Arabidopsis thaliana: one gene and its partners. The protein of the gene in region 3 interacts with the protein of the main gene of each other region in a pairwise test. Each region holds a gene or a part of one and is shown on either strand. Other genes may lie near its edges. The genes, in order: KNAT6, KNAT2 and ATH1.

Region 1 (7,690 bases), on a different chromosome or scaffold from region 3:
TTAGAGCAACCAATAGTTTGCAAGTACCTTTAAGATGAAAATGACTTTCTCTAGTCTTTGAGAAAAAAAATAAAAACAGAAACAAAGTTTATATTAAAGTAGTATGAAAGAACATGCCACTTTCTTGATTGAAAATTATATGATAGACGTAAAAAGCTGTCGACAAAACTAAAAGAATAGTTCCATTCGAAATATTATAGATGCTCTCGTTCTATTTTCTTTTTGGTTAAAGTGCTCGTTTTTTTCTTGATACTCTCTTTAAATTACGGCCAATTTCATAATTTCAAACTTAATACATATGTAAAATCATTAAATATACCAAATTATGCTTATGTCTATTTTTGTGAATAAATTACATAGTTCATTTTCATAAGCTAAAGTCATCATGAATATCAGCATCATCAATTTTGGCATAAATTTCATAAATCATAAATTAGCTAAGACCATTGATTTTGCAGCTCCTATACGCCTAGACCAGCGTTTATTTTATTCTTAGTTTTATCCACAAACTTGCTTTATACAGAACTATTCTAAAGTAAACACTAGCTGATACTATATACTAATTTAATCTTAATTAGACGATTTTCCATTAGGGCCTTCTTATCTACTATCTAGGAACGGACCTTCGCTTCTCGAAACCCATTTCATCCCGTACAATCGAAGTGTCCAACATCCGAGTTGGTAAAAAATTTCTTACTACGTAGTAGGTACTAAGAATCACTTATCATATCCATATATTCTTCACATTTGATTTATTTCATACCATCATTTGAATATATATGTGTTGATTATCATTTTGTTAGTAGTCGTGTTCGATAATTTTGTTCTGTATCTAGCAACAAATTTACAGTGACAAGTATTAAAATAATACCGCTCTTTAACTATATATATGTATGTATCAGCTCACTAGTTGTTTGTAACCAGTTCTTGTTTTTCCAGTTTGATATATTCGATTCAACATACCCAAAACATCTCTCATATACTGAACTAATATCTATTTCTAATTGACTCGATTCAATATCATTAGTACTATATTATCTTCTGATATGCGACTTCATTTGTTTTCTTTCTTCTGTTCGGTTTTCCACTTGTTGTTTAACATTTTCACCTTGTTTCACTATTTGCAATCAAATAAACGATTTATGTAGGTGTATCTATATATGTTCTTAGGATCATAATAAAAATATATTTTCTACAAAGTTTTTCGAAAATATATATACATTGGGGATTATTTTTTTAACTGTCTACAGCTCACACATGCATATTATCATATTTGAATGAAGATAACGATACAATGCCGATACTGATACAAATCATTATGTTAGATGCTCAATTTGTTTCTATAGGTCCTATAATATATACATCAAGTCATCAACTATACTTTTTGAAAAGAAAATTACACAGAGCTTTCAAATAAGTTGCGTGTAGTTTAGTGGTTATATGTACTAGTAGTTATGTTACCATCTAAGTGTATTGTCGATGAGAAAAAAAAGAGTTCAAATAAACTGACATAGTATGCTGGTAAATAATCACACTTTTTCCGTTTTTTCCATTTCGTTTTCAATAATATATAATTTTGTTTCTCGCCATGTTTCATTGATATTAAAAATCTCATGATCATGCAAATTCTATCATAACACAGCCTTGGACCTTTCTTAGATATATATGTTAGGAAGGCCTTATCTCGACCTATGAAGCCTGAAGCTCCATTGAGCCTTTTAGCATATGTCCTTTTTCGTAATTATCATTTTATTTTTCTTCTCCGTTAACTTTCATATCTTTTTTCTTCCAAAAGAAAATAAATTAAGATCCCTCGAGCCTCTCTCTCTCTCTACACACTCCCATAGAAATAAATATTTTCAAGAACCAAAAAGTTTGTTATAAGCGGTTTCATATTATTCTTCTTCATCGATTCTTGATTTTGCAAGAAGACAATTCAAGAAAGCGATTTAGAAGACGGAGGAGTTCTTACCGGAGATCTTATACTTATGGATGGAATGTACAATTTCCATTCGGCCGGTGATTATTCAGATAAGTCGGTTCTGATGATGTCACCGGAGAGTCTCATGTTTCCTTCCGATTACCAAGCTTTGCTATGTTCCTCCGCCGGTGAAAATCGTGTCTCTGATGTTTTCGGATCCGACGAGCTACTCTCAGTAGCCGTCTCCGCTTTGTCGTCGGAGGCGGCTTCGATCGCTCCGGAGATCCGAAGAAATGATGATAACGTTTCTCTAACTGTCATCAAAGCTAAAATCGCTTGTCATCCTTCGTATCCTCGCTTACTTCAAGCTTACATCGATTGCCAAAAGGTGATCGTTAACTCTTTCTTTTTTTATCACTTAGATAAAATCTAGGTTTTACTTTTTAAAGATAAAGATAAGATTGAGAAGCTTTGATATTTGATTGTTTTTTTTATAATTTTATGGTTTAACAATTTCATAATTTAGAAACAGGTCGGAGCACCACCGGAGATAGCGTGTTTACTAGAGGAGATTCAACGGGAGAGTGATGTTTATAAGCAAGAGGTTGTTCCTTCTTCTTGCTTTGGAGCTGATCCTGAGCTTGATGAATTTATGGTCTCTCTCTTTTTTTCCCTCGATTTTTTTTCGGATTTTTATTTTTGTTAAAATATTTTTTTTTGGAAATTTTTGTACTTAAGAAGATAATTTATTATCAGGAAACGTACTGCGATATATTAGTGAAATACAAATCGGATCTAGCAAGACCGTTTGACGAGGCAACGTGTTTCTTGAACAAGATTGAGATGCAGCTACGGAACCTATGTACTGGTGTCGAGTCTGCCAGGGGAGTTTCTGGTATGTCTTAAATTATCCCTCTCTGGTTCGGTCTTTTAGTGGTTCTATTTTGTGGTTAGTTCTGAATGATTTCTTTTGATCTTTTCCGTGGTTTTTCATTAATAATATCCTTTCCTCGATATTTCCATAGGGTTTTGATTCATATGACCAGTTTCTGAAAAATGATTGGTAGCTTGTTGATAGAATAACCCTAGGCTTTTGAAGTGATCAGAAAGCAAAATAGATAAAAAATGAAAAAAAAGAAGATAAACCCTAGCTACAAGTTTCATTTCCATAGCTATTTTTCCCTTGATGGGTTTTGTTTTGTGTGTGCTTTTCTTTTGGGCACGTTGAAACTCTGGAGACAAAGATCTGTTTAAGGTGTTGTGCAATTATTTTACTCGTTCATTTAATGTTTTAGCCATGGGATTAGGGTGTTGGAGTGTGGTGGGGATTTCCTCTTCTTCTTGTTGTTGATCTTTGTGCTAATCATACAAATTTTACTTTATATCTTTTTCTCTTCTTTCTCTGTCAGAAAGAAAATGGTGTAGAAAGCAATAAACTTTTGTGGTAGAGATTCTGATTTTGACGTTTCAGAGGCTTGTTGCGTACTGAATGTTTTTTCAACTTGTTGCTTTTTTCTAGTGAAAAACCAATTGACAGAAAAACCTAGTCATAACTTTTTAACAATATGTGTAGTTGATTTTTCATGAGCTTCTTTTGCTTCACTTCTCGTTTAACAATAAGTAAGTATAAGTACTAGTCATAACTCATAAGTCGCTTCACTCTTGTTTATGGGTAACAACCTTATTAGGTTACCAGTTTTTCTAAGACTTCAACTTCTTTTGGTCAGATGATTATTAATAACCAATAAGCCATAAGAGTTATTAGCTGTAATTCCTCTTTAAGCTCATTCACAGATTCTCTGGATCGGAATTAATAAGCGTGTTTAGATAATTTTACGATTAAATTTCTGTTATATCTTAATAACACACCATATAATTTTTCTATCTAATTAAATAGGTTAAAACAATAAAGTTAAAATTGTATTTTAAATTTAATATAGAAGTCTACAAAACGACATTCTTTGTGAAATAAAAATTTAATCCTGAATTCGACATTTATTATGAAGAACGTAACTTTGGTCTATTTCAAGTTTCAATGATCTGAGAACAAGAGTAGGGAGATTTTTGTTGATCATCGGAAATAGTATCATTGCCAAGTGGCCACTCTTATCTGCATGTTCTTGTTGGAGTCTTGTTGGACTTATATGTAAGTAATAAACCAAAACTGACTCAATTTTGAAGCGATTTAAAAGTCTAGGTTTTATGCTTATACATGAATGAAATGCTTCAAATAAGTGACTTTCTTTGTGGTTTACTGATATTATCTCTTTAGACCACATATTGTACTACAACTAGCAAAAACATTGTGGCCATAACAAATCAACCGATCAGGTTAGCTAGAAATACTGATCCTTAGGAGTTTTTTTTTTAATACAATAAAATAGAAGAAAAACTCCAGCTGAAAGAGTTAGCTGTAAAGAAATGAAACTCCATAGATTGGTAGACTTTTTTTCAGCTTTGCAGGAGTTTTCCATTATCGTGGTCGATCTCAAATGCAGGTTCCACTTGTACTTTGGTAATATTGTTTATTGGGGGAAAAAAGCTGCTGATATATAAAAACATATCAGCTTATCTTTATAAACTAATCGAGAGTTAGCATAGAGTATCAACTGGAAAAGTTGAAAATAGATCGATGCAGGTTTTCCATAATGGACGAATGTTTATGATTAATAATTTTAAAATTTGTTCAAAGTACAACTTGCCTTTTTGAATGATCTCATCTGTTTTTTTTTTCTTTGGTTGTGTGCTTTATTTAACCATCTTTTTCTTTCACCTGAATGAAATCATAAACTAATAAAGAAAAAAGAAGCTTACAATTGTTAGACAATATTCACATGGGATGCGATGTTATCTACTAGTTTCTCAGTTCAATCACATGCTTGGTTTCTTTCATGTTGATCTGATTTAGTAATACAAGTTGATCACATAGACTTTTGATTTCTCACTTCTTGGTTGTTGTGATACGGTAATGCAACTTAGCGAAAGCCCTTCTTTGGACTAGCTAAAAAAGCAACACATTCTTTTCTTCTAATGCGTGGTTATCTTGCTACTTAGAGTGGATGGTCTCTTATTGACTTTTATAGTCAACATTTGTCTTGTTGCATGCAATATCATCAATGTTACATGTTTGCATATTTGATCTAGAAGATAAGAATACTGCAACGAGAAGAATAGGAACATAGTGCATGATTAGCTTGAATTAGAGGTTCTTTTGGTTTTTGTTATAAAGTAAAAGGTGGAAAAGTCACATGGACTCCCGTGGATTCCGCTAATGACCCCACCAACTTTCTCTCCTAAGATTTTATTTTTGATTTGGTTATTAAAAAAAAAAGGAGACATAGGGTTCTCTACACACCACAATCAAATCATCTATAAGACTGCGACTATGCTTCTTCTCTATCTTTCTCAACTCTTTTGCCATGCCCTCTGGTTGCGTTGTTCCCTTGGTGGGTCGTATTATGTCTCTCTGAGGCACGCTACTAGCACGTGTCTACTTGCATGTTACCTTCTTCAGTGAACCCTATTTTCAAAGCAGTCAATGCATTGCTGAAAATGTAAATAATAATCCCAACCATACAAACTATCGTTTTTTGCCATTAAACTGTTACCCTAACTACTCATATGTGTGTAATGTGAACGTAATGGTCTCTATAATATATGATCAGTTCATGTTTTATGCATTTTAGTATATTTTTATTGGCCTATTTAACATCTCTATTTCCTTCATAATTACTGTGGCTGCTGTAGAAATCTTTTAACTTTTATAATATGTTTATAAAACTGACTGAATTGCGTGAATTATAAATTGACTGAAATTACCTTGGCTGTTGTAGAAATCTTTTAACTTTTTTTAATATATGTTTATAAACTGACTGAAATTGCGTGTATATATTATGTAGTCCAGTATTTTGTGTGACTGACTAAATATTTTGACTAAGCACGGTTGCTTGGTCCGACTATATATTCTGTCACATAGGCAAAACTATTGTAAAATCAGGTAATGTTCTTGAATCGTCTTTGGGTTGAGTTTTGGTGTCAGAGAAGCTGGGTAAGTGGGTCAGTAGAGTCGTTGGGGCATATATATAAATGTCCAAATACATTAAAGAAAGAGAGAGAGAAAAGGAAATTGAGTTTTGGGGTATCGTGGAGAACATAAATGAGAGGTGTAGCGTTATTTCCGGGGGTTCACACAACCTCTAAATGGTATTTACACGTGTCATATTGAGATTGGGTAATTAGTAGGCCTAAGGGGGGATGTCTCCTCATGGGGACAAGACTATTAGTCCTCTCCTGACAAATGACAATGGAGGTAACTATTCACTGCGGCGGTTTTTTGACTGCTGCACTCAATCGTGTGCGTCCTCGATATTCTCTACCCCTTACCACTCTTTCTTCTTTCCCTTTTTTGCCCTCTTTAGCCACTTAGCCGTTTTAGCCGAGAAAGCCCATTTAAACTTTTTCATGGTAGTGAATAGTGATAATTCTGTTACATTTACTTGCTATAACCTATAACCATTCTCTGTCTTTGATGTCTTTGTATAGTGATAATTCTTGTGAATTTGGTGTAACAGAGGATGGTGTAATATCATCTGACGAGGAACTGAGTGGAGGTGATCATGAGGTAGCAGAGGATGGGAGACAAAGATGTGAAGACCGGGACCTCAAAGATAGGTTGCTACGCAAATTTGGAAGCCGTATTAGTACTTTAAAGCTTGAGTTCTCAAAGAAGAAGAAGAAAGGAAAGTTACCAAGAGAAGCAAGACAAGCTCTTCTTGATTGGTGGAATCTCCATTATAAGTGGCCTTACCCTACTGTAAGCAAAAGCAACACTTGCATGTTTTCCGACATAACTAACCACTACACTTATATATAAATGGGTGGTATGAATGTGTGTGTACACAGGAAGGAGATAAGATAGCATTAGCTGATGCAACGGGGTTAGACCAAAAACAAATCAACAATTGGTTTATAAACCAAAGGAAACGTCATTGGAAGCCATCAGAGAATATGCCTTTCGCTATGATGGATGATTCTAGTGGATCATTCTTTACCGAGGAATGAATTTATTTATGGTACTTATTTAACGTTGATTAAAAGATGGATGTATAATTCTGCCTTGCTTTGCCGACAAAGGAAAAAAAGAAAGAAAGAGTGAAGCATGGACGACACATGAAATGGATCTTACACTCACTCACATGTAGTAGAAGGAACAAGTCAAAATGCTTTGTAACTATTATTATCGGTGAATAAAAATAACCTCTTTTGTCTTCTCCGGACCTCTCGTGATATAGCTTTTACCCTCTTATTGGCAAAACGTTGAACAAACAAAATACTTAGATAGGTTAGATTTGTTTATTAACTATGTGTTTTTCAAAAATAATTATAAAATATCTTGTTATTTGTGTAAATCACACTAAATTAAACACATTCTTTTATTGACAGTTTAATCATCATGTACATTTTGCTAATTGTAGCCAAAAGTTTAGCTATCTAGCAATTGGAACCTTGTGCCCATAATCCAACCATCTCTGTTTAAATTTTGGGGTGGGTTTCAAATTATCCTTATTGGGCCTAAAATCGGCCCAATATTAAACTGAAACCAGACTTTTATCCAATCCGAGTAATCGGAACAAAACAACATGATCGTGTGAACCAACGGCCAAAAAATGGCGGCTCTACTCGGTATCGTCTCTCCTGTGACTTTCACCGGAAAGCACCCGGTAAATTCCCGATCGCGACGGAGAACGGTAGTAAAATGCTCGAACGAAC
Region 2 (7,733 bases), on a different chromosome or scaffold from region 3:
TGTAATTGTATAGCATAAAACTACTTAGAAAGAAAGAGAAACAACCAAAGGAGAGTATTAAGACCTGGGATTCCCAAAATAAATAAATAAAATCCATAAGAAGCTAAGTAATCTCCAATTTCAGTAACATTTCTAACAACAGAAACAAATTTGTTCAAAACCACATATTGATGATATGAGATACAAAAAAGAATGACAATAAACTCCTACAAAGTTGAAGCAACCGAGTGGTACAATAATATATTAACAAAAACCTCAATACAAAGAATTGAAACCTAACAACACTAAATCACGGGAACAGTATGAACAATCCATGATGAAACATTCGAGTGGTACAATATTATCTTAGCAACATAATTATATGCACTTGATCTAATAATTTAGTCGTCACTTTTTGTTATTATTATTTTTTCTGCAAGACACACATTTTTTTTTTGCAATCATTTCTCGACGATAGTGATCATATAGATTATAGAAACTTGTGACCCCCCCCAAAAAATACAGAAAAGTTTAGAAACAATATAAATATGTGCTGTGAAGGCCACCGGTGGGGATTCAATACGATACGATCCAACGAAGTGAAATGAGAGAGAAGGAAAGTTCTGTCGTTTTTATAAGGTTTGATACTAAAACAAAGCTTTATGTCAGTTAAATTTCACACCAAAGTAGTCCGACGGATGTGTCAATCAAACCTGTCCATCATCAAAAAGACCTTTATGACATTTGTTTTTATTTTTTTTTGCGGAAAAAACGATATGGATCATCGGATCGGGTCTGGAGTAGACCCATGCAAAAATATAGTTTTTTTTCTTACAACAGGGTTTATAGATGGATTTTGGTTTATGACAAAAACTGCAGGTTCTGTTACTATATAAGGTAATGAAACATTTTGAGTTGATATTATACGCGACTAACAGATTCTCTATGAAAATAACAAGAAGTGCGATAAGTGGAGTGGCCACTATAAAAAATAGTTCCTAAGAGTGTGTTTAATTAGCAAATGACTGAAAGCAATTAAAAAACAAAAATTGTTTACTATGTTGTGATTGATAATGAGCACCTAGCTACCATAGACGTGTTTTACAGAGAAACAAAACTAGGTGAAAATTGAAAGAGTGAAATTGAAGTTGAACCGATCCGGTTAGACAACTAGAATCGTAGTAGCCTAGTAGGTGTCGGCCACCGTAATTGAAACAAAAAGCTTATTAATTAACAAAATTACCATCATTTGTTTTTACTGTCAAAATTCAAATTACCATCGTCTAACCTGTTTTTGTTAACAAGTACTAATTGTTGTCTTCATTAGCTAAGTCATAAATTCTAAAGGTTAGCGTGCTATTTTGATCATTTGTGCGATAATATTATATATCAAAAATAATCGTAACCATGTAATCGTACAGTTAAAAAAAGTGCTCTTGAATCACGAAGAAATCTTTTTATAATCACTCGAATCGTATTCCTTAACACATATGGCAAACCCTTGAAATCTTTCTTCTTTTATACTAGTACGACAAAATAAAATAAAAATTATGGTGTCTTTAAGAAAAACTTGTAAATTATCATAATAAACTATGAAAATTCATATTCGTGATTTTTTTTTTTTTTTGCTTTTCGTCACAAATCATTTTTTTTTTTTTTTGGTTTTTTGCTGAAATATTTACGATCATTGCCCTCAGACTACTATACTACGAGACCGCCTCAACTTGGCCAGTCTATCTATTTCCATTGTCTCTATCTCTCTCTCTCTTTGAAGCAGTTTGTTACTTCTTACTTTTGTGTTTCTTCATATTCTTCAGAAGCAAGCACAAGGCTAGGGATCGAAGAAGCGGCGATCACTGATCGTATCTCACTACGATCACATTAATGGATAGAATGTGTGGTTTCCGCTCGACGGAAGACTATTCGGAGAAAGCGACGTTGATGATGCCGTCCGATTATCAGTCTTTGATTTGTTCAACCACCGGAGACAATCAAAGACTGTTTGGATCCGACGAACTCGCTACCGCTTTGTCCTCGGAGTTGCTTCCGCGTATTCGAAAAGCTGAGGATAATTTCTCTCTTAGTGTCATCAAATCCAAAATCGCTTCTCATCCTTTGTATCCTCGCTTACTCCAAACCTACATCGATTGCCAAAAGGTGATCTCGCTGCTTTCGTGTTTTGTCTTTTCTTTTTCTTGTTGTGTATGATTTTGTGCTTTCAAGGTTAATTTGATTAAGCGTCAGGAATTTTACATGTATTCATCGTCGTATTTAAAGATAGTTCTCTTACTTTTTTTTTTCTATTCCACTTTAACCCTAAGATAAGATTGGAGAACTAGAGAGACTGTGTTTATATGTGAGAGTGATTTTTTTTTTTTTTTGGTTATTGATTGACAGGTGGGAGCGCCTATGGAAATAGCGTGTATATTGGAAGAGATTCAGCGAGAGAACCATGTGTACAAGAGAGATGTTGCTCCATTATCTTGCTTTGGAGCTGATCCTGAGCTTGATGAATTCATGGTTTCTCACTTTGTTCGTTGCCTTGAACTTTGATCTTCTAGTTTTTCTTAAAATATAATTTTGTTTTTTTGTGGTGTGATTCTAGGAAACCTACTGTGATATATTGGTTAAATACAAAACCGATCTTGCGAGGCCGTTCGACGAGGCTACAACTTTCATAAACAAGATTGAAATGCAGCTTCAGAACTTGTGCACTGGTCCAGCGTCTGCTACAGCTCTTTCAGGTCAGCACTAAAGTGATATCTATCTCTTGTTCGAGTGTACTTTTGATTTCTTGTTTCCTAGCTAGTGTTTTTATTGATCTTTGAGCACTATCCTCGGTTTGTGTGTCCTTTAAAATCCTTGCGCAAATTTCTCCTTACAGTTACAGATCTTGCGGATTAGAAAATCTATCCTCAGATAACTTTTCCTTTCTGTGCTTCAATGATCAGTTTCTTGGAATTGATGGAAAAATTGGAAATCTTCTACTGTTTTTTTTTTCCTTAAAGAAAACGAGAATCGATAAGTTGTTGTAGCTGAAACTAGGAGGAGCTTAGTAGATCCGGTTTAGACAACCCAAGGCAATAAAAGTCAGAAAAAAACAAGGAAACTCTAAAACCCTAGTTTTGTTAGAAAACAATGATTGATTCAGCCACATCTTTTATATTTGGTAGAAGTCATTCATGCTTTAGATAGATCCATGACCTTCACACATCTTTGTGACATTTATTTTCTATCATTAGCTATGGTTTAAGCTGTGGGGCGGATATTAGGGGAAAGCCGGTGGGTAGGATTTTCTCTGTTAGTGATATTTATTTTCCTAGTGATTTTGGTATGGTATACTTTTCTTTTGTTACTTTTATATATACTTGTATTATTATCTTCTCCTCTGTCAGAAGAAAATATGGGTCTATGAAAGCAAAAACTTTTGCGCTAGAGATTCTGATTTTGACGTTTCAGTGTCGTACTGGAAGTTTTTTAATTGCTTATTTCCAGTGAAAATTCAATCATAGAGAAAAAACCTAGTCATAACTTCCACTAATAAATGCCACTGATTTTTCTTGAGTTTGTCCTTGGCTTCATGTTTAGATCTCTAGTAGTATCGCTTGTTTTCATCTTCATTAAGAGACTGATGGGTAAAACAAAACTTTACTAGTTCTTGATTACTCCAACTTCTCTTGGTGAATGAACCAAAGTTTATACTACTTTTCCATAGAAAGTGTCAGACTTAAGTTTTATCCATGTCACTTTAGTTTTTACTATTAGAGAGATAAAAATTTATTGTGTATAATGAGTATAACATAAGATTGATTTGTTTTCTTAGTGTATGTGAAAATTAATGACACTAGCCCTTATTTTTGAATACATTGTATTTGCACCTAAGGGTCTTACATTTGAAGTCCACTGTGTTCAAATTACATGTACAAAATCATTGGTGTGATTAATTTTCACGAACCTATCTGACTTAGTAAACCAAAGAAGTGTCTTGATCAGGTCAAATAGTTGGATTTTGTGTTTCTTTAGCTCGAAAAAGCTAAACCAAATCTCTGTTGGATTTCAGTTAATCTGAGCTCATGCGCATGTAAGTCCATAAAAATGCTTGATGGCCAAGAGGCTTGTATATTCTGCATGTCGTGGTTAATGTGTCTGTTATTCTTGTATTCTTGTTGGAATTTTATGTGAATAAATAAATGATTGAAATGCATTAAGACACTTACACAATGTAAGTGAGGTTTACTAATTTGCCGAGGTATTAAACTAAACTTAATGGTACCTTCTTTTCCACCATTTGTTTTCTTAATTAAGCAGAATAGAACTTTGTAAGTATTTTACAAGCAGCCCAAATAAGGAATAGTAGGTTTCTTAAAAGAATGTAATTTTAGTTGTCTTTGTGTTGTTTTTGTAGCTTATATTGGTTAAACCTTTCCAACAGGGCAAAAATTAGTTTCTTGTTAATCTACACTAATCTACTTAGCCACGTTCATGTTGTCAGAATACGTGTGTATATTTTTTATAAGTAAAGTATTTCACTATCTTAGGGATTTTAAAGTAATCATTTTACTTCTTCATCTCCACCTGATAAGAACTAGCTGGAAAAAAATTGGAACTACAATATAGTGGAATTCAGCTTTAATAGTCTTCTTTTTCTTATATGTTGATATCAAATGCTGCTTCGGTTGTACTTTGTTAGCATTGTTTAATTCCGAAAAGTTGTTAATACTTATCAGCGTACTTAATTAATTGGAGTTTACATAGGGAATAATCTTGTCCAAAAGGTTGAAAAACAGATCACTTGCAGCTTGAATTTATCTTTATTGGACGAATGTTTAGTTTTTTAATGGTTTTGAAGTACCACTTACCTTTTTAGCGTAATCTCATGTATGATTTTGAAGGAATATATATTACCTTATGAACATCTTTTCCTTGGTCAATACCTTTTTCTGTTTCTTAAGTCCCGAGAAAGGACTTTCTTTTCAACTGAATATCTTAAACTAATAGTATAACTCATAATATGTAGTTTTCAGAGTCATGTGCTTTTGGTTTCTTTTCGTGCTAATATGCTTTAGGAATAAACCAAATCCTCTTTAGTCAACTGATGTTTGTCATAGCAATTGTGTTTACTTATTTTTTTCGTTCTCGCTTTAGTGTGCAATTGACCCTTTTCGTGATTAAGATGGTCAATCTTGGCCATGGTTTTTGTTCCATCCTCATATTTTCTTCTAATCATTTGGTGTTCGGATGGTGTATTGATACAATGAGATCCATGTGCGATTTTGTATCCATATGTGGAATTTAGGACTATTGTTTAAGATTATTCACTACAGTCTACAACTAGTATTTTTGTGTTGTAAAATGCATTCACCCTAGGTCCCTATGCATTCACCCTAGATATATCTTTGGCTGTGAATGATATTCTATTCATTCAATGTTCGTAGGAAACTCGAAAAGCATGTTCTTTTGAACAAAATACTCTGTCATGGCACATTAGTTACTTCACCAGTTCTAGACATGATAATACTGATAATCTGTTTGGTTATATCACCTTCGTTGATAGAATGGTCCTTTTGACACGCACAAAAAAACACACCCAAATGCTTGAATTAGAAATCTTTTAGCCCTTTTTAATTTCTAAATAGAAGAAGTTGGAGACAGAAGCATGAGGTGGTCAAGTGTCACATGGACTCCCGTGGATTACGTTGGTGGATCCCTTTATGACCCAATCGCAACACTCTCTTTTTAAGATTTGATTTGATTTTAAAGAAAAAGAAAGAGAAGAAAATAGGGGAGAGACATGGGTTTTGATTTATGTACAATGCAATCATCTTACGACTAATGTTTCTCCACATCTTTTTCTACTGTTGCTTAGTGGTTGTCATTTCCTCTCTGCGTTTGTTCCCTTAATGGGCCATGCAATTTCCACGTGTTTAACTTTTTTTGGGAGATGTACAAGTCTATCTACTTTTTTTTTATCAGTGCATGTTGTCTCTTTCGCATTGTCTTGATGTTATATAGGAACCAAATTCGGCTAATAGGTAAAGAACAAACCGAGTTACTATTGCACATACCATCCTCAACTAGCAAAGTTTTCATGGATAGGGTGTGAACTATATTTTGTGTGATTTGTCTAAGGATCAGCTCATTAGTGGTGTAGCAAACTACAACCTAAACTCTTTAGGGAGACTTTGAAACGATGTCTTTCTGTAATCACTAAGTTGAGAATACTAAGTGAAATTTCTATTAATGCAAATAATTTGACCATTAATCATGTTTAAACTCCCTTAATTAGGCTCCCTTTTAGTCGCAGTAACATAGGGGTCAGTATGGTATGGTCATAAATGGGGCATTATGAGAAAGTTCATAAATGTTGGGGAAGCGTTTTTTCCGGGGGTCACTCAAACAAGTGTCAGAAAGGTGATACGTGTCGTGACTCAGGTGGCTAGTGGTAAGTCCCAAAGGAGCACGTCAGTGGCAATGGAAGCTAAACTATTCAGTGACTGCGAAAGTTTTTGACTGATCATTTTTGTGCCCGGGTCTTGTAAAACCTCGATATTATCTCGCTATCCTTGTTTTTCCCCTTTTACCCCTTTCTTTCACCCTTTTTTTTTTTTTTTTTTCCTTTCTTTCACCCTTGTTCTCTTCTCTATGCTTTTTTGGCTCTTTTCTTCTTTTAGCTGCTTTAGCCACTTAGTCATTTAGCCGAGCCTACTAGTATCTTAGTGTTAGCTATGTTTGTTAGTGTTGGCATAGTGGTAGAATTTGCTTTCTACATTGTCAAATATGCTACCATAAATAGCACCACCATACATTCTCCTAGTACATTTTATCGGTATGGCACGTATTTGGCTAATACGTGGGAGCTAATCATTATTGAATCTTCTGTATGACATTATTCTCATGTATGAGCAGATGATGGTGCGGTTTCATCTGACGAGGAACTGAGAGAAGATGATGACATAGCAGCGGATGACAGCCAACAAAGAAGCAATGACCGCGATCTGAAGGACCAGCTACTACGCAAATTTGGTAGCCATATCAGTTCATTGAAACTCGAGTTCTCTAAAAAGAAGAAGAAAGGGAAGCTACCAAGAGAAGCAAGACAAGCGTTGCTCGATTGGTGGAATGTTCATAATAAATGGCCTTACCCTACTGTAAGTGTCTTTCTGATTCCACCGTAACCTAGCATACACTCATTAATTTATTTCTTCGACATATTAATATCCGCCTCTCGAATGTGTATAGGAAGGCGACAAAATATCTCTGGCTGAAGAAACAGGTTTGGATCAAAAACAAATCAACAATTGGTTTATAAACCAAAGGAAACGCCATTGGAAGCCTTCGGAGAACATGCCGTTTGATATGATGGACGATTCTAATGAAACATTCTTTACCGAGTAATGAAAAGAGAGACATGAAATTGTGCATTGTATAATTTTTACACTGTTTTTCCAAGAAAAGAAAACAGTAAAAAGCTTTTGGTAAATGGGGCATCATCGCGAATGAATGGAACCCGTTAGCCAAAACGGTCAAGGGCGTAACGAGACATTGTATTGGAAATAGTGGCAATATTATGTCACTAATCTTCCAATCATCCAAATTGATAGATTTCTTATTTGTATTGAACCTTACTTAGATAGCTGATGTGTCAACTAAATAATTTATTTTCATTATCCATTCGGGTAGAAGAATTCATTATCCATTCGAATTTTGTGACTATTTGGCTCGGTTTCGGAGCCGGATTTTTCGGATCGGTTTTT
Region 3 (5,671 bases):
CTAGCTTGAGGCACTCGAGCCTGTTCAAAGGCTTACCGTTAGTTCCAGTGGTCTTCATCTCCACCGTCGATTCCGCATCAACATCGACGCATATGAGTATGTCTTCGCTGGGTTCCACCGAGTCTCGAGTGGCTACAGCTCCGGTCATGGTGGCTCTGTCTTCCTCCATTCGCCGTAAAAGGCTCCGTCTTTACACTTTCTTCCTCAGTTTTAGCAAAGTGTCTTCCTTTTCCTACTTTCTATTTCTAATTGTGTCCGTACCAGATGAAAACGCTGCGTTTTTATTAGTTGACCGAAGATTCTCAAGTCAAACCAAAATACGACGTCGCTTGCTAGGAGATTTTCGTCATTATTCATTTCAGTTTTTGGAATAATAAAACTCACTTGTAAGAGAAAAAAAGTTAAATGCAAACGGTGAAATAAAACTTTAGGTTTGTATTTTGTAGTTTGTTTGAATAAATATGAAAATAAATCTTCAGTGGTTACATACTTTTTATATATTTTCATGAACTTAATTTTATTTTTACGTAAAAATGGTGATCATGAAGTTTAATGAGGATGATGATAATTATGATATAAGAATACAGGATAATAAAATGAAATAGTCAAAGATAAAGGAGTTGTATATACAATTATAACATACGTAATGATAGTCGTACATGGTTTAGGTTTTGGGCAATCATAGAGTAGCAATTGCCTAATTATCACAAAGTTGGTAAACACAATTGTTGTCTTATTTATGCATTGCTTGGCTCATCATAACAGATTTTGGCATTCGAAGAGTTGGTCCGTTGGGTTGAATGTGACTGTTATTGAGCTTCCTCTTGTTCATTTCCGCATACATCTCTTCTATCATCGGCTTCCATAGCCTAACCCGCGCATTTATAAACCAGTTTGATACCTTTAATCACACACAACAAAGAGACACACTCTATATCATTTGCCCGCTTTAACTTACTTCAGTAACAAAACATATGTGCGACTACAATCCTAGGACTTGAGTAACATTATTGTGAATTCAAGAATACATAATCTAGTCTCATTTGTAGTTCAAGAGAAAAGCTTGATTTTTTCCTAGCCCTAATCTCATCTTAAAATAACCAATACCGGTTTTTCAGACATGACTAGTATGTCAAGATATATATTACTCATTTGAATACCATATTTGCTATCATTGTGAGCAAAGATGTTATCAATAAGTCATTGCATAAGAAAACAAAGATCTTATCAATGAGTCATTGCATAAGAAAACAAAGCTTGTTATCAATGAGTCATTGCATAAGAAAACAAACATGAGACATTACCTGACTTCTTGTCAAGCCACTTCGTATAGCTAGAAGATGTTTCTCCGAATCTTTCGGGTAACTGCATTAAATAAAACATAACTTTGCTTATAAAATCGAGTTAACAATGTCATCATCATAAAGTAGATAGTTAAGAAGAGTAAGGATTGTTACGGGTGAAGGAAGTTTTGGAACATCCAATTCCGTAGAACCGAAACAGATTTCTCAGGCAAACCTCGTTGAGGTCTCCAAATCTGATGGTTCTTTCGTTTCAGCTGCTGAAGAAGGCAATGCTGGTGGAACATAGAGGTTTCTTGAGTCTTGTCTTTGCCTCTCTCCAATACAGATCCCATAGAGATTATCTTCTTGCAGATTCTCTCTCTCAGGTTCTTGTATAAGAAGGAAACGGTTTGGAGGGCAAACCGGGTGTGTAACTGTGGATCTAACTCGGTTGCAGCATGGAACGCTGATATAACCGTATGAATCTCATCTACGCAATGACTATATCGATCATCCACCTGAAGAGAAATATCAACTCATAAAACTTCATCATATATATCAAACCATTTTTTTAACTTATGCAAAAAAAGTGAATGAATATATTACATACCATTTGAAGAAGATCCAAGAGATGGGTTTTCTTTGCTTCTAATGCTCTCCTTTGAAATGTAGATCCGAAACCCGCCTCCGAGTTATTAGAATCACCATCAAGAAACTCAGTTATATTCTCAAAACGTGAAGTAAAGGCTGAACTAGCAGCTCCTGACTCGGTTCCTCGAGATGAATAATCGAGCGAGTATGCGGCGAAATGAGATAGTATTTCTTGAACAGAGTGAAGGTATTTTGAGCCAAATATAAGTTGAGAGAAACCTTGAGTAACAACGTTATTAGAAATGTCTTTGCTGCTGCAAGAAGCTTGCTCTGAGGCTAATCTTGTAGCTGCACAAAGACTTATCTCCGAGCATTCATCAGAAACATCTGATGCAAGACTCAATGAAAGCTCATTGTTTCTTTTATTCGAAATTAGAAACGGGAAATCTTCTTCACCGAATGTAGACATCATTGGTTCACTTGGACCAACTACACCTGAAAATGCCTGAAACTCACTATTTGCTTCAAAACCCCACATGTTGTTTGAGGAATCATCATAGTGTCTTAAATGATCCAAAGGATGAAGTGGAGGAGGATGAGGAGGAGGAGCCATGAACTCAACATTGCGGTTATCTTGAACATCGATAGACCGTGGAGAAGATGATAAGTATTTGTTAGTCAGCATAGAATTGAAAATATCAAAGCCACCCATTTGTAGAGGATCTGATCTGATGGTATTCCATGGAAGCATTGTTGAGAATGAAGTTGAATCTTCTCTTGAAGGTATAAAATCCATGAGAAGAGGATTTTGGTTAGTCATGACATTATCCAGAGAACTAAAAGTGTTGTTGTTGTTGTTGTTGTCCATTGGGTTTCTATGAAACTGCATTACCAAAGAAGACAAGTATTTAAGACTTAGACAAAAGATTTCAGAAAATCTAAGAAACCAAATCTTTGGAGAATAGTACTAAATGTAAAATGCTGCAAGAGACAGAGAACATCGCTCACTATGTCATTAAATATTTCATTAAAATATATAAAGAACCGAAACATGAGTTAATGAAGCCGTAACTAGGCTCAATGATACACAGACCAATAATATCTCAAAGCTATCTGTGATAAACAGTGAACTAATAAGTAAAAAAGAAAGCTTTAGATTACTACAAATGTCCATAGAACATTAAAAATGTTGAAACTTGCCTTTATCCTTCTTCTTCTGATAGAACCTTTGGGAAGATTTCAGACAACACAACGTTCCAAAGAGAATTTTTACATCAAAATTTCCAAAATGTGTGTTAAAAACTGAAGAAGAAGATAATGCTTATTTATCTTCTTTCTCCGTGAAAGAACAGTGTACTTTCATTCCGCAGCTTCTCTATGTTCCTAAAGAGAACCAAAAAGCAGAAATCAACAATAAAGTTAGTATTCATAAATTAAAGAGAACAAAATAATGCAACAAAACTGAAAAAGAGAAAAGTGGGTCTGATTAATCTCTTTTGCATGAACGCAAACACTTACAAAAAAAATTACTTACTTTTTCTTACAATAATTTCATGAAGAAATTCATAATCTTCATCATCTGCCTCACTAAAAGATTCAGAGCACTAGATCAACAAATAGCAACATTTTATAACTAAATAAACAAACCAAAAGTTGTATTATCGAGGGGAAAAATACAACTTTAATATTCAAGAAAGAAGAAGTTGAAAAGAAGGAGGGCCAAATCACGTACGGAGCTGCCTCTGTTTATGACACGAATCCATTTTCATATCTTTAAGATCTTCCGACCAAAAAAAAAGATAAATCAGAATCAAGAAAATCTTATATATAATCACTTTCTTAAAATGTCATTTATTTAAAATGTTGTTCATAGAGAAAGAGATGAATCTAGTAAAATTATCTAAAGAAAATATATGGTTGAAACAGAATCGAAATCCAAAAAAGAAATCCAAAGACATGAAGAAGACCGATGTGTTACTGTTTACTACAGAGAAGTGCACTCATTTCTGTTGCAGGCTTTAAATTAGGGAAGAGACCCTACATTTTACTATTTACATGTCTCTATATATATATATATGTATGTGTCTCTATTTATAAAATTTTATAAAGTTATAAGAAAATGGTGTTGTCTTCTTGTGCTGGTTTCAATTATCACAAATCAGAAAGAGGGAAAAAAGTAAAGAAGGGTGAGATCTTTTTTAGCCATTTAAGGAGAATTGATGAGATGTGTGATCCATTTGGGTTCTTGCTTTTTCTTCTTTCTTTTCTCACCACTCGTGTCTTTGTATTGTGCCATCAAATCTTATATCCATTTACGTATTTTTTTCATATAAGTTTTTTACGTAAGCTTTACAAAAATATCAATCAATTTGCTTGGCCTTTTCTTTGATTGTTCCTTTCTTATCATTTTTATTTATTTATTTATTTATTTTAAGTTCAATGTGTCGTTATGTGTTACGTCTTTATTATCATGGCTAATGATGATGGAATTGAACTCTATTACTCGTAGACTATATAGATTGCAACATCTGAAATTATGCTCTTCTTTATTACAACCAAAAGAAGAAGAAAATCTAATGGTACTTGATTTGATCTGTATTAGCGTGACTTGATCTGTATTTTAAATAATGTTAATGGTACTTGCCTAAACAATGACTTTCTAAGCTGGTATGAGACAAAGAAAAGGGTCAAGGACAAGTATCTTGCATGGCCACTCCAAGCAAAATTGGATATTGATTTGGTGAAACAGTTATTGTTGTTCGTATAGGACAAAATTATTTTCAATAGAAATCGATAATTATTGATATCATATCCTTATTATTGTTTGCTTACAAGTCTATATTATTTAATAGTTTGAAATTTTGATTTAGTAAAGCAGAATAGTATCAATAACACTAGGAACTATAGTACCGACTATTAACTGAAGCTGGAATGCATCTTTAATCATGCCTACGATCTTAATCAATAACACTTATTAATGTTAGACTATTAGACCCGTGCTCATAACTTTTGGGTCCTAGGCGAATTATAAAAGTTACTTTTTTTTGTTGTCTGATAGTCCAAACAAGAACTTGTAATGCTTTTTCTAAAATGAAACAAAATGTACGTTGGCTATGGAGCCTATCGACTCCAGCACCAGCAGATGCTTAATCTACTCCATAGACTAGAGCGCTTTTTATCTGAAGTCGTATAATTTCCCAAGTCATTTGGCTTAATTATTGTGTATCAACTTATACTATATGCTACTGATGTCTTGCTTAGAATATTATACAAGTTCATTGACTTAGAATTATATATAGGCAGACTAAGCAAAATGGGAATAAATGATCACAGAGGGCATTAACTAGTTCACTGAGGTTCAACAATCTACTTGATCTTAACTCCTTTCGAATTAATATAGAAGTCGAGCACTTGAGGATCAGAAAACACACATTCATTCTCAGTGTCTGAAGCACTTGAGGGTCAGAAAACACACATTCATTCTCAGAGCGGCGTATAATTTTAAGATGTCAATCGCTCTTACGTAAAGATCGATAGCCATCCACCTAAACATATGCAATACTCCTTCTGTGAACAAGAAATTTATTGATAAAACCAAGTGTGTTAGCAAGTTAATCTTTACATAGAAATCAAGGACTCACTCTTAATGACCAGCAAAGTGTGTTAGCAAGTTGAGTGACCAGCAAAATTCTAACCCTAAAAAAGTAATGTAGAAAGCAAGCCCTCATTATCACCTTTACCGTGACATTTGGATTTCCATCTCTATCACCACCCATCCAGGAACCAAACTTTAGTGG

Evidence for each region.
Region 1: the proteins of ATH1 (region 3) and KNAT6 interact in a two-hybrid assay, tested with the Arabidopsis thaliana proteins (one study listed by BioGRID).
Region 2: the proteins of ATH1 (region 3) and KNAT2 interact in a two-hybrid assay, tested with the Arabidopsis thaliana proteins (one study listed by BioGRID).

The regions. Positions count from the first base shown.
Region 1 is NC_003070.9:8,296,791-8,304,480, reverse strand, and holds KNAT6 (homeobox protein knotted-1-like 6), read left to right. Parts: upstream 1-1,880; 5' UTR 1,881-1,988; coding exon 1,989-2,309; intron 2,310-2,447; coding exon 2,448-2,576; intron 2,577-2,677; coding exon 2,678-2,816; intron 2,817-6,492; coding exon 6,493-6,734; intron 6,735-6,823; coding exon 6,824-6,982; 3' UTR 6,983-7,190; downstream 7,191-7,690. Other genes in the region: MENG (S-adenosyl-L-methionine-dependent methyltransferases superfamily protein), read left to right, coding at 7,588-7,690. UniProt on the Arabidopsis thaliana protein: Plays a role in meristem function. Contributes to the shoot apical meristem (SAM) maintenance and organ separation by controlling boundary establishment in embryo in a CUC1, CUC2 and STM-dependent manner.
Region 2 is NC_003070.9:26,574,772-26,582,504, forward strand, and holds KNAT2 (homeobox knotted-like protein), read left to right. Parts: upstream 1-1,714; 5' UTR 1,715-1,863; coding exon 1,864-2,136; intron 2,137-2,376; coding exon 2,377-2,511; intron 2,512-2,584; coding exon 2,585-2,723; intron 2,724-6,885; coding exon 6,886-7,127; intron 7,128-7,218; coding exon 7,219-7,374; 3' UTR 7,375-7,660; downstream 7,661-7,733. UniProt on the Arabidopsis thaliana protein: May play a role in meristem function, and may be involved in maintaining cells in an undifferentiated, meristematic state. Probably binds to the DNA sequence 5'-TGAC-3'.
Region 3 is NC_003075.7:15,914,132-15,919,802, forward strand, and holds ATH1 (homeobox protein ATH1), read right to left. Parts: upstream 4,023-5,671; 5' UTR 3,409-4,022; exon of another isoform or gene 3,258-3,408; 5' UTR 3,075-3,257; intron 2,758-3,074; 5' UTR 2,743-2,757; coding exon 1,894-2,742; intron 1,802-1,893; coding exon 1,458-1,801; intron 1,366-1,457; coding exon 1,305-1,365; intron 902-1,304; coding exon 734-901; 3' UTR 539-733; downstream 1-538. Other genes in the region: AT4G32970 (BRISC/BRCA1-A complex protein), read right to left, coding at 1-169. UniProt on the Arabidopsis thaliana protein: Transcription factor which may be involved in the signal transduction pathway downstream of the COP1 gene. Controls floral competency as a specific activator of FLC expression. Is responsive of the nuclear import of SHOOT MERISTEMLESS (STM).